Arabidopsis thaliana: one gene and its partner. The protein of the gene in region 2 purifies or fractionates together with the protein of the main gene of each other region. This does not show direct contact. Each region holds a gene or a part of one and is shown on either strand. Other genes may lie near its edges.

Evidence for each region.
Region 1: the proteins of GLDP1 (region 2) and PDE345 fractionate together in Arabidopsis thaliana (co-fractionation; one large-scale study listed by BioGRID). This does not show direct contact.

The regions. Positions count from the first base shown.
Region 1 is NC_003071.7:94,088-98,564, forward strand, and holds PDE345 (Aldolase superfamily protein), read right to left. Parts: upstream 2,777-4,477; 5' UTR 2,405-2,776; coding exon 2,249-2,404; intron 2,137-2,248; coding exon 1,867-2,136; intron 1,772-1,866; coding exon 1,662-1,771; intron 1,559-1,661; coding exon 919-1,558; 3' UTR 640-918; downstream 1-639. Other genes in the region: AT2G01130 (DEA(D/H)-box RNA helicase family protein), read right to left, coding at 1-28, 100-260, 408-548. UniProt on the Arabidopsis thaliana protein: Plays a key role in glycolysis and gluconeogenesis.
Region 2 is NC_003075.7:15,925,992-15,933,369, reverse strand, and holds GLDP1 (glycine decarboxylase P-protein 1), read left to right. Parts: upstream 1-1,947; 5' UTR 1,948-2,219; coding exon 2,220-3,434; intron 3,435-3,553; coding exon 3,554-3,799; intron 3,800-3,887; coding exon 3,888-3,965; intron 3,966-4,051; coding exon 4,052-4,152; intron 4,153-4,242; coding exon 4,243-4,438; intron 4,439-4,518; coding exon 4,519-4,644; intron 4,645-4,742; coding exon 4,743-5,042; intron 5,043-5,122; coding exon 5,123-5,275; intron 5,276-5,366; coding exon 5,367-5,555; intron 5,556-5,641; coding exon 5,642-5,719; intron 5,720-5,800; coding exon 5,801-5,926; intron 5,927-6,013; coding exon 6,014-6,112; intron 6,113-6,209; coding exon 6,210-6,327; intron 6,328-6,429; coding exon 6,430-6,518; 3' UTR 6,519-6,718; downstream 6,719-7,378. Other genes in the region: ZIP9 (ZIP metal ion transporter family), read left to right, coding at 312-767; CBL10 (calcineurin B-like protein 10), read right to left, coding at 6,972-7,026, 7,117-7,229, 7,330-7,378. UniProt on the Arabidopsis thaliana protein: The glycine decarboxylase (GDC) or glycine cleavage system catalyzes the degradation of glycine.

The DNA of each region.
Region 1 (4,477 bases), on a different chromosome or scaffold from region 2:
GAAGACAACAACCTTAGCATATGCATGACTGCAAAAAAGAAACAGAAATGGTTGTACTAGTGAGAAAGAAGAAAGAAAGGAGCAGCATGATTGATGTACCTATACAATCCCAGGGTTGTAGCCAGAGCAGCAAGTTTATCAAAATCCCGTCTATCTTTTTTCTCCCTGGAAATAACTTCTTGCTTTAAAGAATCTTTCAAAAGCATTGAAAATCTCTTATTCCAATCATCCAAGTCGGCACAGTGAAAGGTACCCTCCTGCTGCAAATTGATATGGTTCCAGTAGAAAGATAAAGGGATTTTTATAAAATGCTACTCGAGAGCAAATCGAAAACTAGAATCGCCATTGTAAGAGCATCAATCAAAAAGCTCAGAGATGCATGAAAAAAAGATGAAGAAGAAGTTAACCGGTTGGCGATCCTCGGAAACGCGGTCATCATAAGCGGAGACATAGCGAACTGGAGAGAGAGGAACAGGATTGAAGCCGTAATCGGAACCAAGGCGCTGGTGAGGCGGAACGTACAGCGAAGGAGGAAGACGATTCGTCATCGGAGCCAAATTCAAAACTCTAAACTCTCTCTACTGTAAGTCAAAAGTAAACTATAAAGAGGGAGAGAGATCTCCGCTGCTTCTTCTAACACTGAACTTGCAACTATGCCAATTTTACCTAATCGCCCTCCAAAAATTTTGTAAACTTAAAAGAAGAATTACACAATTTGGTTTTGCAGTCAAACAGTAATCAGTCTTTCTGAGAGGAAATATAGATTTAAGAGGATGTTTTCACGTTGCTCACATACATATATGATATGATCGTGACTCGTGACTGTCTTTCTTTCTCAGAGACAAAACAAAAAAGGGAAAAAAAAACAAAAGACAACAATGGTCCTTAATCCTTATTACGATCTCTGAAATTAACAAATCAGTAGGTGTAACCCTTGACAAACATTCCTTTCTTGGCATCCTCGTTCTCTCCCTCGGCTGAGTATTTGCCGAGCTGGGCCAGTGAGTTGGCCTTTGCCCTCACCAACAGTGCCTTCTGCGAGGCCTCAATCTTCTCCGGCTTGCCTTGCCATGTTCTGAGCACGGAGTTCTGCAGGGCACGTGCGTATGAGAAGGACACATGCCATGGGTTTGGGCTCTGGTTCATGGCGTTCAGGTTCAGTGTGGCCTCTGCCTCTGATTGTCCTCCTGACAGAAACATGATCCCTGGGACAGCCGGAGGAACCCTCCTTTTCAGCATGGTGAGCGTGAAATCTGCAACGGTCTCGGGAGAGGCCTTGTTCTTGTGCTCAGCGCCTGGGGTGACCATGCTCGGCTTCAACAGAATGCCCTCAAACATGACGTTGTTCTGTGCCAAGTAGAAGAACACCTCTGACCACACTTTCTCTGCCACCTCCAGAGTCCTCTCTATTGGGTGGTCCCCGTCCAGAAGGATCTCTGGCTCCACAATGGGGACAAGACCATTATCCTGAGAGATGGCTGCATAGCGAGCCAGCCCCCACGCAGCTTCCTTCACAGCCAGTGCTGAAGGACCGCAGGGAACACTCACCACTGTCCTCCTAGACAAACACACACAAACATCAAAACTAGGAAGAGCATTTTCACATCAAACCAAAGAGTTAATACCATATGTAAGATAACATGGTGAAATATATGACATACCACTTGGCAAAACGAGCGCCTTGCTTGTAGTACTCAGCAGAGCGTGAGGCCAATCCATCCAAGCCTTGGCACCAAGACTCTTCGTTGGAACCGGCTAGGGGAGACAAGCCCTACGCGGTGGATTGCATTGTCAACACTTCACTCAACACACATAAAAACTCAACTACTTATGATGATGATGACAGAATAAATGGATAAAAAATACCTTGTCAACTTTGATGCCAGGGACGATGTTGGCATCGCGCAAGCAATCGACAAAGGTCTTACCGTCCTTGGTGGACTGGTAAAGAGTCTCCTCGAAGAGAATGGAACCAGAGATGTAATCGCCGAGGCCAGGAGTGGTAAGCAGAAGTTGCCTGTAGGCCTGACGGTTGTCCTCGGTGTTATCCAAGCCGATAGAAGCAAGCCTCTTCCCACAGGTTGCATTGGACTCATCGATCGCCAAGATACCTCTCCCAGGGGATGCAATGCTTTTCTATTACGCAATAATCAGAGAATCTCACTCTACGTTTGACTTTGAGAATTACGGAAACGAATCCAAACTAATAAAGCATCAAAGAGAGAGAGAGGATAAGGAGGATACTCACGGCGGTTTTAACAAGCTCGTCGGAGTAAGCACCGGCGCGGATCGCGAAGGAGACTCGAGGAGGAGGAGAAGAAGAAGCAGAGGTGTGAGCAAAGGAGCGTTGGCCGATCCATGGAGAAGAGAGGGTGTTAGGCTTAACGAAGCTAGCAGACGCCATAGGTAGTACAAGGAAGGTACAAAAGTGATGGTGATCAATCTCTCGGGGACTCCGCGGGACAGAGACAGAGAGAGATCTGGGATTTGGAGGAGAGTGTTAAAGCCAAAGGTTTTGTTTACTACTATTAGTAGTCGTCTACTTTGGCATCACCTACTCCCACCACCAAAAAGCCTCCTTCTCTTTACCATTTTATTCCCCAATTTACCGTAAATGACGCTTTTAACCTTGAGGGAGATACTGGTAATTTTTTCTAGTAGTTCATCAGTCTCTCAACAACAAGAATCTGAGAATAACCAAAACTCTACCGTTTCGTCTACCCAAACTATCCTTCTCCTACCATTGCCTCTTCGTCTAACTCAATCGTTTTTCTTAATTAATCAAATTACATGACCTATCACCTCTTCAAGGAGTGTGATGAAAGAGAATGGGCCGGATATTCCCTTTTTTATCTGTTGGGCCACAATAGTAAACAACTTATATAACAGGCAAACTCTTTTACGTAATTGATTTTTGGGCCCAATAGTAATAGGGCTTAGTTTCAGATAAACAATAAGAGCCCACGACAGCTTTGGTGTTCTTGGGTCTTTTTCTTTTTTTTTTTCCTTTTTATTAAGGCAACCATCCAATAAGTCCAAATATTGGTGTTACTCGTAACAGGCGAGGAAGGTGTAAACAAGAAGAGAGAAAATGCAAGTTCCGAGAAACGTTATATATATGCGACATGAGAAAGTGGCAACTTTTTCTTTCTTGTATCTTACACTACTTTTTTGTATTTTTAAAGTATCTTTGATTTGATAACAGTTTTCTAAAACTGTTGGCCACAATTTAAATGCATATTCATATGTATGTTCAAATTTACAGCAACTCAGTTTGACCCCACAAAAAAAGGGAAAAACAACAACAAAATTCAAGACTATATGACTAAATATGTTCAAGTGCTTCAATTATATATTAGGTACAAGAATATGAATATAATGCCAATCTTATCTTAATCAGAGTAGGAACTAGTAATTTTCATATTTTAAGACAAGTTTGAAAGTTGTTTTAATTAAACATGCGTAAAGTTCCATTCTCTGCTCTCAGATGAATGGCATATCGATCATAATTCACCTAGTACTTCTTCTAGAGTGTTCTACGCTGCCTCTACGTATTAGAATATAGTATATGTAAAAGGTGTTGGTGCAGATCTTTGATTAACACTTTGGTCAGTCACATATCTAATGATTTTTAAACGATAAACCCCAAAACGCGTCTTCATACAGTTCACATGCATATGTCACCCAGAAGAATTGACTCTCAGATCTTTCTAGGTGTTTGTGTTCACACTTCGCCACGCTCTCTCTGTTAGAAACGATTTAAATATACAAACAAAGCTAGTCAGTGTTTCCCATTCGAAAAAAGAGAAAAGACAAAAGAGAGTGTGTTATTTGTCTTGTAATGAAACCTATTGAGTATGGTTGACTGGTTGGTGCGTAGGGAGAAGCAGAAGGTGATAGGACCACGTTGTTGTTTATTTGGCAATTCTTTTACAAGCCCTTGGTCCTGTTTTCTCCATCTTCTCTACTTCATTTGTCATTTTCATTGTTTACTTATTAAATTTACATCCATGTTAACTATTTTCATTTAAACAACAACGTACGTGGACCTATCGACTGATCATCCCTTGGTCGACAAACAATGATGGATCGGAACTTGATTTGGTTTTCTTGAGTTATGTGAAAAAGCATCGCATTATCAATTTTAACAACTTTTCTATAGCTCTTAATTCTGTCTAGCTAATAGACCTATAGTTTCTAAAACAAATACTATAGTCTTGCAAGCCGCATGCTACCTAATGCAGTATATATTTGGATAATTTCAAATTGTCTTTATTATTTCCTCATATTTTTATTTAATTATTTAGATAATTTTTATTTATTGTTTTATGAATTTTCTAAAATTTTGGATTTATTATAATTAAGACTTTTGAACTTAAAATTGTATTCAGTTAATTGATTAATAAAATTAAGCTTTTACCTTTTCAGAGAAGAGTATTCTCTAATTCCTTGCTTTCGGTAGATCTTGAAAGATTTC
Region 2 (7,378 bases):
ATTATTTAATGTTATCTTCGTAACTATTATATATAGTACTACTTCATGTTCATTCTACCAAAACATTATTAATATGAAAACGAAAAAATAAGATAATTCTAAAATATCATACTATTATTTAAGTTTTCTTCCAAAGATACAAATGACGACTTAAACGCATTGTGGAAACATTTTTTTTTTTTGGTGTGTGTGTGTGTGTTAATATATTTTGACGTTATGTGACTTAGTCAAACCAATCCGTTTATATAATTTCCTTGTATAGTGTCGATGCACAAAATCAATTGATGATACCCTTATATTTTTGTATTCAGATACTTGAAATGGGAATAGTGTCACATTCAATAATCATAGGAATATCGCTTGGAGTATCACATAGCCCATGCACCATACGTCCTCTCCTTCTCGCTCTTTCCTTCCACCAATTCTTCGAAGGTTTTGCCCTCGGTGGCTGCGTCGCAGAGGCCAGACTAACCCCGCGTGGATCTGCCATGATGGCTTTCTTCTTCGCCATCACTACTCCGATCGGTGTAGCGGTGGGAACGGCCATTGCCTCATCTTACAACTCTTATAGCGTTGCAGCATTGGTGGCTGAAGGAGTGCTCGATTCTCTCTCTGCGGGGATACTTGTGTACATGGCGCTTGTGGATTTGATCGCTGCGGATTTCTTGAGCAAGAAGATGAGTGTTGATTTCAGAGTTCAAGTTGTTTCTTATTGCTTTTTGTTTCTTGGAGCTGGGATGATGTCTGCTCTTGCAATTTGGGCTTGATCACTTTTCATTATTACTATTTGTTTATGAAAGTAATAAATTTAGGCATGCCTTTTTCTTTTTTCTTTTGGACAGAATTATTATAGGTATGCCTATCACTCTATTTGTTTCAAAATAATGTTTGTAATCAATTCTATTAGATATTCACTCTTTATCAATCATGTTATATATTTTTGTAGCTGGTAAACAAATAATTAATTTTTGAACAAAAAACAAAAACAAATACAATTAGTTTTTACAAGCAAGTATGCAACTGAAATCCAAAGATTTTCTTGACGCCTTTTCGAGCATATTCTAATCCTTCATTTTGATTTAGCTCAAGAAACGCCATAATAGAACCATATATATGAACTAAGTGTTTTTAAAAAGAGTAGGTCATGACTCATGAGTAATCTTTTCCACGATCTTTAAGATATATTATTCTTGGAAGGTCGAAAACTATAATATTTCATTTTCTGTCGAATATATATATATATGGATGACGATGGTTCCCATGCATGATGAAGAAAAAGACGAACCCTATATTTATCTGTTTAATTAAAATTTTCTTTGTGGAGATAAACTCTCTGTGAAACGCATTCCGCCACCTAATTTATCATATATTTTCATGTGAACCAAAATAATTAAAATTTGTTTGCCATATATATATTTATTTGTTGTTATCTTTCTGAGTGATAAAGGTGACAAACATTTTTGTCCACTGATACCCAATCTCTTCCACTTCAGTTCCCTTCCTTTCAAATTTTATCTCGTGCTTTTACAGCATATCCCACAATTCCTGTAAATTATCTCAAGGATTTGGTGCATAAATTCTATTTTTTCGTACTTTTTTGTTGGATATGTAAATCAGAACCAAAAAAACTTAACATTGATTAAACTTTACAATTTACGTATGTCCCATTAGAGGGGAACTACAGTTTTTGTAGGAAAATAAGAAATTTGCGAACTAAAGACACTAAATAATCCTACTTTTAAAATCACAATAGTTAGTACTCAATAAAAAATATTGTATATTGTTGTGAAAAAATGTAAATAGTTTGGAGAAACTGCTACTAATAAACAAATAATTAAGAGATGTCGGAGATCCAATTTAATCATAAAAATAAAATGATTAGCACAATATTGCACTACTGATTTAGATGCGATACACGTGGAATCTGCAACTTTTCACCAACCACATCCGAGCCTACACCACGAAATTTGAGGATTTTTATTTATTTCCCAAAAATTTCTCTGTATTTATAAACTAACTATTTCTTGGGACGTGAATATACACATTTTATATTCAACGGTCCGTGAGTGTATATTGTATATACTCTCTCTCAGATTCCCTCCTTGTAGCTAGCTTCTACCTCCTCCTTTCATTCATGGCGAAAAACTAAAAAAGACATCCATCTTTCTCAAAACATCTCTCTTACTCTCTTCGTTTTCTGACTGCAACCTTTTTTCCCAATGGAGCGCGCAAGGAGACTTGCTTACAGAGGAATCGTCAAACGTCTCGTTAACGACACAAAACGACACCGTAACGCTGAAACACCTCACCTTGTTCCTCACGCTCCGGCGAGGTATGTCTCTTCCCTTTCCCCTTTCATCTCCACCCCTCGATCTGTCAACCACACGGCGGCTTTCGGGAGGCACCAGCAGACGCGTTCCATCTCCGTCGATGCTGTTAAACCCAGCGATACTTTCCCTCGTCGTCACAACTCTGCAACACCAGACGAACAAACCCACATGGCTAAATTCTGTGGCTTTGACCATATCGATTCACTCATCGATGCTACGGTGCCCAAATCGATTCGATTAGATTCCATGAAGTTCTCCAAATTCGACGCTGGTTTAACCGAGAGCCAAATGATTCAACACATGGTTGATTTAGCTTCCAAGAACAAGGTTTTCAAATCCTTCATCGGGATGGGTTACTACAACACTCATGTCCCTACTGTCATTCTCCGTAACATCATGGAGAATCCAGCTTGGTACACTCAATACACTCCTTATCAAGCTGAGATCTCTCAAGGTCGTCTCGAATCGCTCCTCAATTTCCAGACCGTGATCACAGATCTCACGGGTCTTCCTATGTCCAATGCGTCGCTTCTGGATGAAGGCACTGCTGCTGCGGAGGCAATGGCCATGTGTAACAACATTCTTAAGGGTAAAAAGAAGACCTTTGTCATTGCTAGTAACTGTCACCCTCAGACTATTGATGTTTGTAAGACTAGAGCTGATGGGTTTGATTTGAAAGTTGTCACCTCTGATCTTAAGGATATAGATTACAGCTCTGGTGATGTTTGTGGGGTTCTTGTTCAGTATCCTGGTACTGAAGGTGAAGTCTTGGATTATGCTGAGTTTGTTAAGAATGCTCATGCTAATGGTGTTAAGGTTGTGATGGCTACGGATTTGCTGGCTTTGACTGTGTTGAAACCTCCTGGAGAATTTGGGGCGGATATTGTTGTTGGCTCTGCTCAAAGGTTTGGTGTTCCGATGGGTTATGGTGGTCCTCATGCTGCGTTCTTGGCTACTTCACAAGAGTATAAGAGAATGATGCCTGGGAGGATTATTGGTATTAGTGTTGATTCTTCAGGAAAGCAAGCTCTGCGTATGGCTATGCAGACTAGAGAACAGCATATTAGGAGGGACAAAGCCACTAGCAACATCTGTACTGCTCAAGTAATTACTTCTTAGTATCTGATTACTCATTTTTCACTTTTCACTATTAGTTCGTTCAGATAACTAGATGATATGTTGATTCATGTTGATGAGTACTTCATCTTTTCATTTTCCTGCAGGCGTTGCTTGCCAACATGGCTGCCATGTATGCTGTTTACCATGGACCTGCAGGTCTAAAATCTATTGCCCAGCGTGTCCATGGTCTCGCTGGTATATTTTCCTTAGGGTTGAACAAGCTTGGGGTTGCAGAAGTTCAAGAACTTCCTTTCTTTGACACTGTTAAAATTAAGTGTTCGGATGCACATGCAATTGCTGATGCAGCTTCCAAAAGTGAAATTAATCTGCGTGTTGTGGACTCAACCACTGTGAGTCTCCTTTGCTTTGGCCTTTCAAGGTTTTTACTCTCATAGCATCATACAGATTTGAATATTTGGATATGATTACTTAATTCAGATTACTGCTTCCTTTGACGAAACAACCACCTTGGATGATGTCGATAAACTTTTCAAAGTTTTTGCTTCTGGCAAGCCTGTGAGTGTTGTTCATACCTCTTTTTGTTATTGATATATCATTTCTAGGATCCTTGCATGAAATTTGACTATCTCAATTCGCTTCAGGTTCCATTTACGGCTGAATCTCTAGCACCCGAGGTTCAGAATTCCATTCCTTCTAGCCTAACAAGAGAGAGTCCTTATCTTACCCACCCAATCTTCAACATGTATTATTCTGTTCTTTGAATCTTGAGTGGCTTATTACTTGTGGATTGGCAGTATCTCATTTTTGTTTTCCATTTTGATAATATGATTAGGTACCACACAGAGCATGAGTTGCTTAGGTACATCCACAAGTTACAGTCAAAGGATCTATCACTGTGCCACAGCATGATTCCGTTGGGATCTTGTACGATGAAACTAAATGCAACAACTGAAATGATGCCAGTCACATGGCCAAGTTTCACTGACATTCACCCTTTTGCTCCTGTTGAACAAGCACAAGGTTATCAGGTTAGTGACTTTCTTGATTCATCTGAGGTCTGATTTAGAAAGTTGAACAATGAACTGATATCTTGTCCACATGTATGTAGGAAATGTTCGAAAATTTGGGTGACCTCTTGTGTACGATCACTGGGTTTGACTCTTTCTCGTTGCAACCTAATGCTGGTGCTGCTGGTGAGTATGCCGGGCTTATGGTTATCCGCGCATATCACATGGTAACATCTTTTATCCTAAATTTGGATCTTATTCTACCTAACAATCTTCTATTCAATTGTATTAAGCTGAAAAGTGAATGAATGAATGCATTTTTCAGTCAAGAGGAGATCATCACCGTAATGTGTGTATCATACCTGTCTCTGCACACGGTACAAACCCTGCAAGTGCTGCTATGTGCGGGATGAAAATTATTACAGTTGGAACTGATGCTAAGGGAAACATTAACATTGAGGAGGTGAGAAAAGCTGCAGAAGCCAACAAAGACAACTTAGCTGCTCTTATGGTTACATACCCTTCAACTCATGGAGTCTATGAAGAGGGCATCGACGAGATTTGCAACATAATACACGAAAATGGAGGTCAAGTGTACATGGATGGTGCCAACATGAATGCACAGGTGAAATATCTTACTAAAACAGAACACAGAGATCTTGAATTTTCTCTAATTTGTAAGAGCATGGTGTTGGGTACGTGTAGGTTGGTTTGACGAGCCCTGGTTTTATTGGAGCGGATGTGTGCCATCTCAATCTCCACAAGACCTTCTGTATTCCTCATGGAGGTGGTGGTCCTGGTATGGGTCCCATTGGTGTGAAGAATCATTTGGCACCATTTCTTCCTTCTCACCCCGTGGTTAGTCTTTTATCCTTCATCACTTTTATGTTTCTTGGTGATTGATGATTAATTCCTTAATTTTTTGTTTCTTCCATTTCCATGTATACAGATACCGACTGGTGGTATCCCACAACCCGAGAAGACAGCACCTTTGGGTGCAATATCCGCTGCACCATGGGGATCTGCGCTTATCTTGCCTATATCTTATACTTACATTGCCATGATGGGATCTGGTGGGCTCACTGATGCCTCTAAGATTGCAATTTTGAATGCCAATTACATGGCAAAGCGCCTAGAGGTAGTAGAACATCTTTGTCTTCTATTTACCTATTCATCTTTTGAGAATGAAAGGAGTCTAATTTTCCTCTTGATTTGTTTTTACAGAAACACTACCCAGTTCTTTTCCGTGGTGTTAACGGAACAGTAGCACACGAATTCATCATAGACTTGAGAGGCTTCAAGGTATGAAAATGTTGTGAACTGAAATTAAAGTAGTTGTTTTGGGTATGCATATCACTGACCGATTCAAATATGAATTTGTAGAACACTGCTGGAATAGAACCAGAGGATGTGGCGAAACGGCTAATGGACTATGGATTCCATGGACCCACAATGTCTTGGCCTGTCCCTGGAACTCTTATGATTGAGCCAACCGAGAGTGAAAGCAAGGTAAATATGGATATATGCAGATCTCTCATTGACTCTTTCTTCTCTCAGTGTATCAACTTGATGAAACTAAATAATATTCGTTTGCAGGCGGAGCTAGACAGGTTCTGCGATGCTCTCATTTCAATCAGGGAAGAAATTGCACAGATTGAAAAAGGAAATGCAGATGTCCAGAACAACGTTCTCAAGGTAATTAGGAAAACAAAGACTTATCATAATTATATCCAATAATAATATTGTTCGGAGAAGTTGAGATTCATACGTTGGTGGTTGTTTGTTTTCTCAGGGAGCTCCACATCCCCCATCGTTGCTAATGGCAGACACATGGAAAAAGCCGTATTCTCGAGAGTATGCTGCTTTCCCTGCGCCTTGGCTCCGCTCCTCCAAGTTCTGGCCCACCACAGGTATTAGACCATCCAAGATATAGATTGCACATTTGGTTTTCGATTCAGTTTATTCTGGTTTCGGAATTCTGATATGTGACAAATGATTGAAATGTGGAACAGGGCGTGTGGACAATGTATATGGAGACAGGAAACTGGTGTGCACTCTCCTCCCAGAGGAAGAACAAGTCGCAGCTGCAGTGTCTGCTTGATTACTGCTCTGTCCCATTGTGTTGTGTCCCTTTCTCTCACCACGCACTCTTCTCTTTCACATTCTGTCCATAGTGTTCTCATTATACGCTTTCTGTCTCTTACTCTATTATTTCATTCGAATACATCTTCTATAAATTATATATTCCACAATTGACCGAAAACAAAACACAAACTTTGGTAGAATCAAGACTTAAATCAACTATACTGCCATAGACGCAAGATGAAAAGAAAAATGCTTCATTACTTTCAATGGAACAATTACAGTAAAGTCATCAAAACAAAGCAAAGTGCTTGACAATTTTACTTACAGCTAATAATCATCAACTACGTTGGCTTAAAATAAAATAAGGAAAACCTTCTTTCCTCGTTCTGCTCTTGCGCTATGACAATCTCACTCGAATTACAGGACCAAGCAGAAAAAAGATGACCGGTGTTGCATGGACAGTTGTGCCTCAGTCTTCAACCTCAGTGTTGAATATAAAACTTGGGAATGCTGTCGTCACATCCCTTCAAATTCAAATACAGATATGGTTGATGATAAAGTAAAGGAAATCCTAAATGGAAGGGCTAATCTAAAAAAGAGAGAGGATTTGGTACTTTAGGTAAGGAAGAGTCATATTCTTCAACAAGCTAGGATGTTTATGCACATAGACATTCCATTCATCCTTACTAATTTTACCGTCTTTGTCAGAATCTGCATCAGCAAATGTCTAGCAAAAACAAAGTAGAGAAAGAAAAGAAGCATGTGCTAACTAAATTTACCAAAATATTATACATCACACTAAGAGAGATGGGATTTCAAGAACTCACTTTATCAATAATCATGGTCAGAAGTTCATCGGATAGCATCATATCAGAT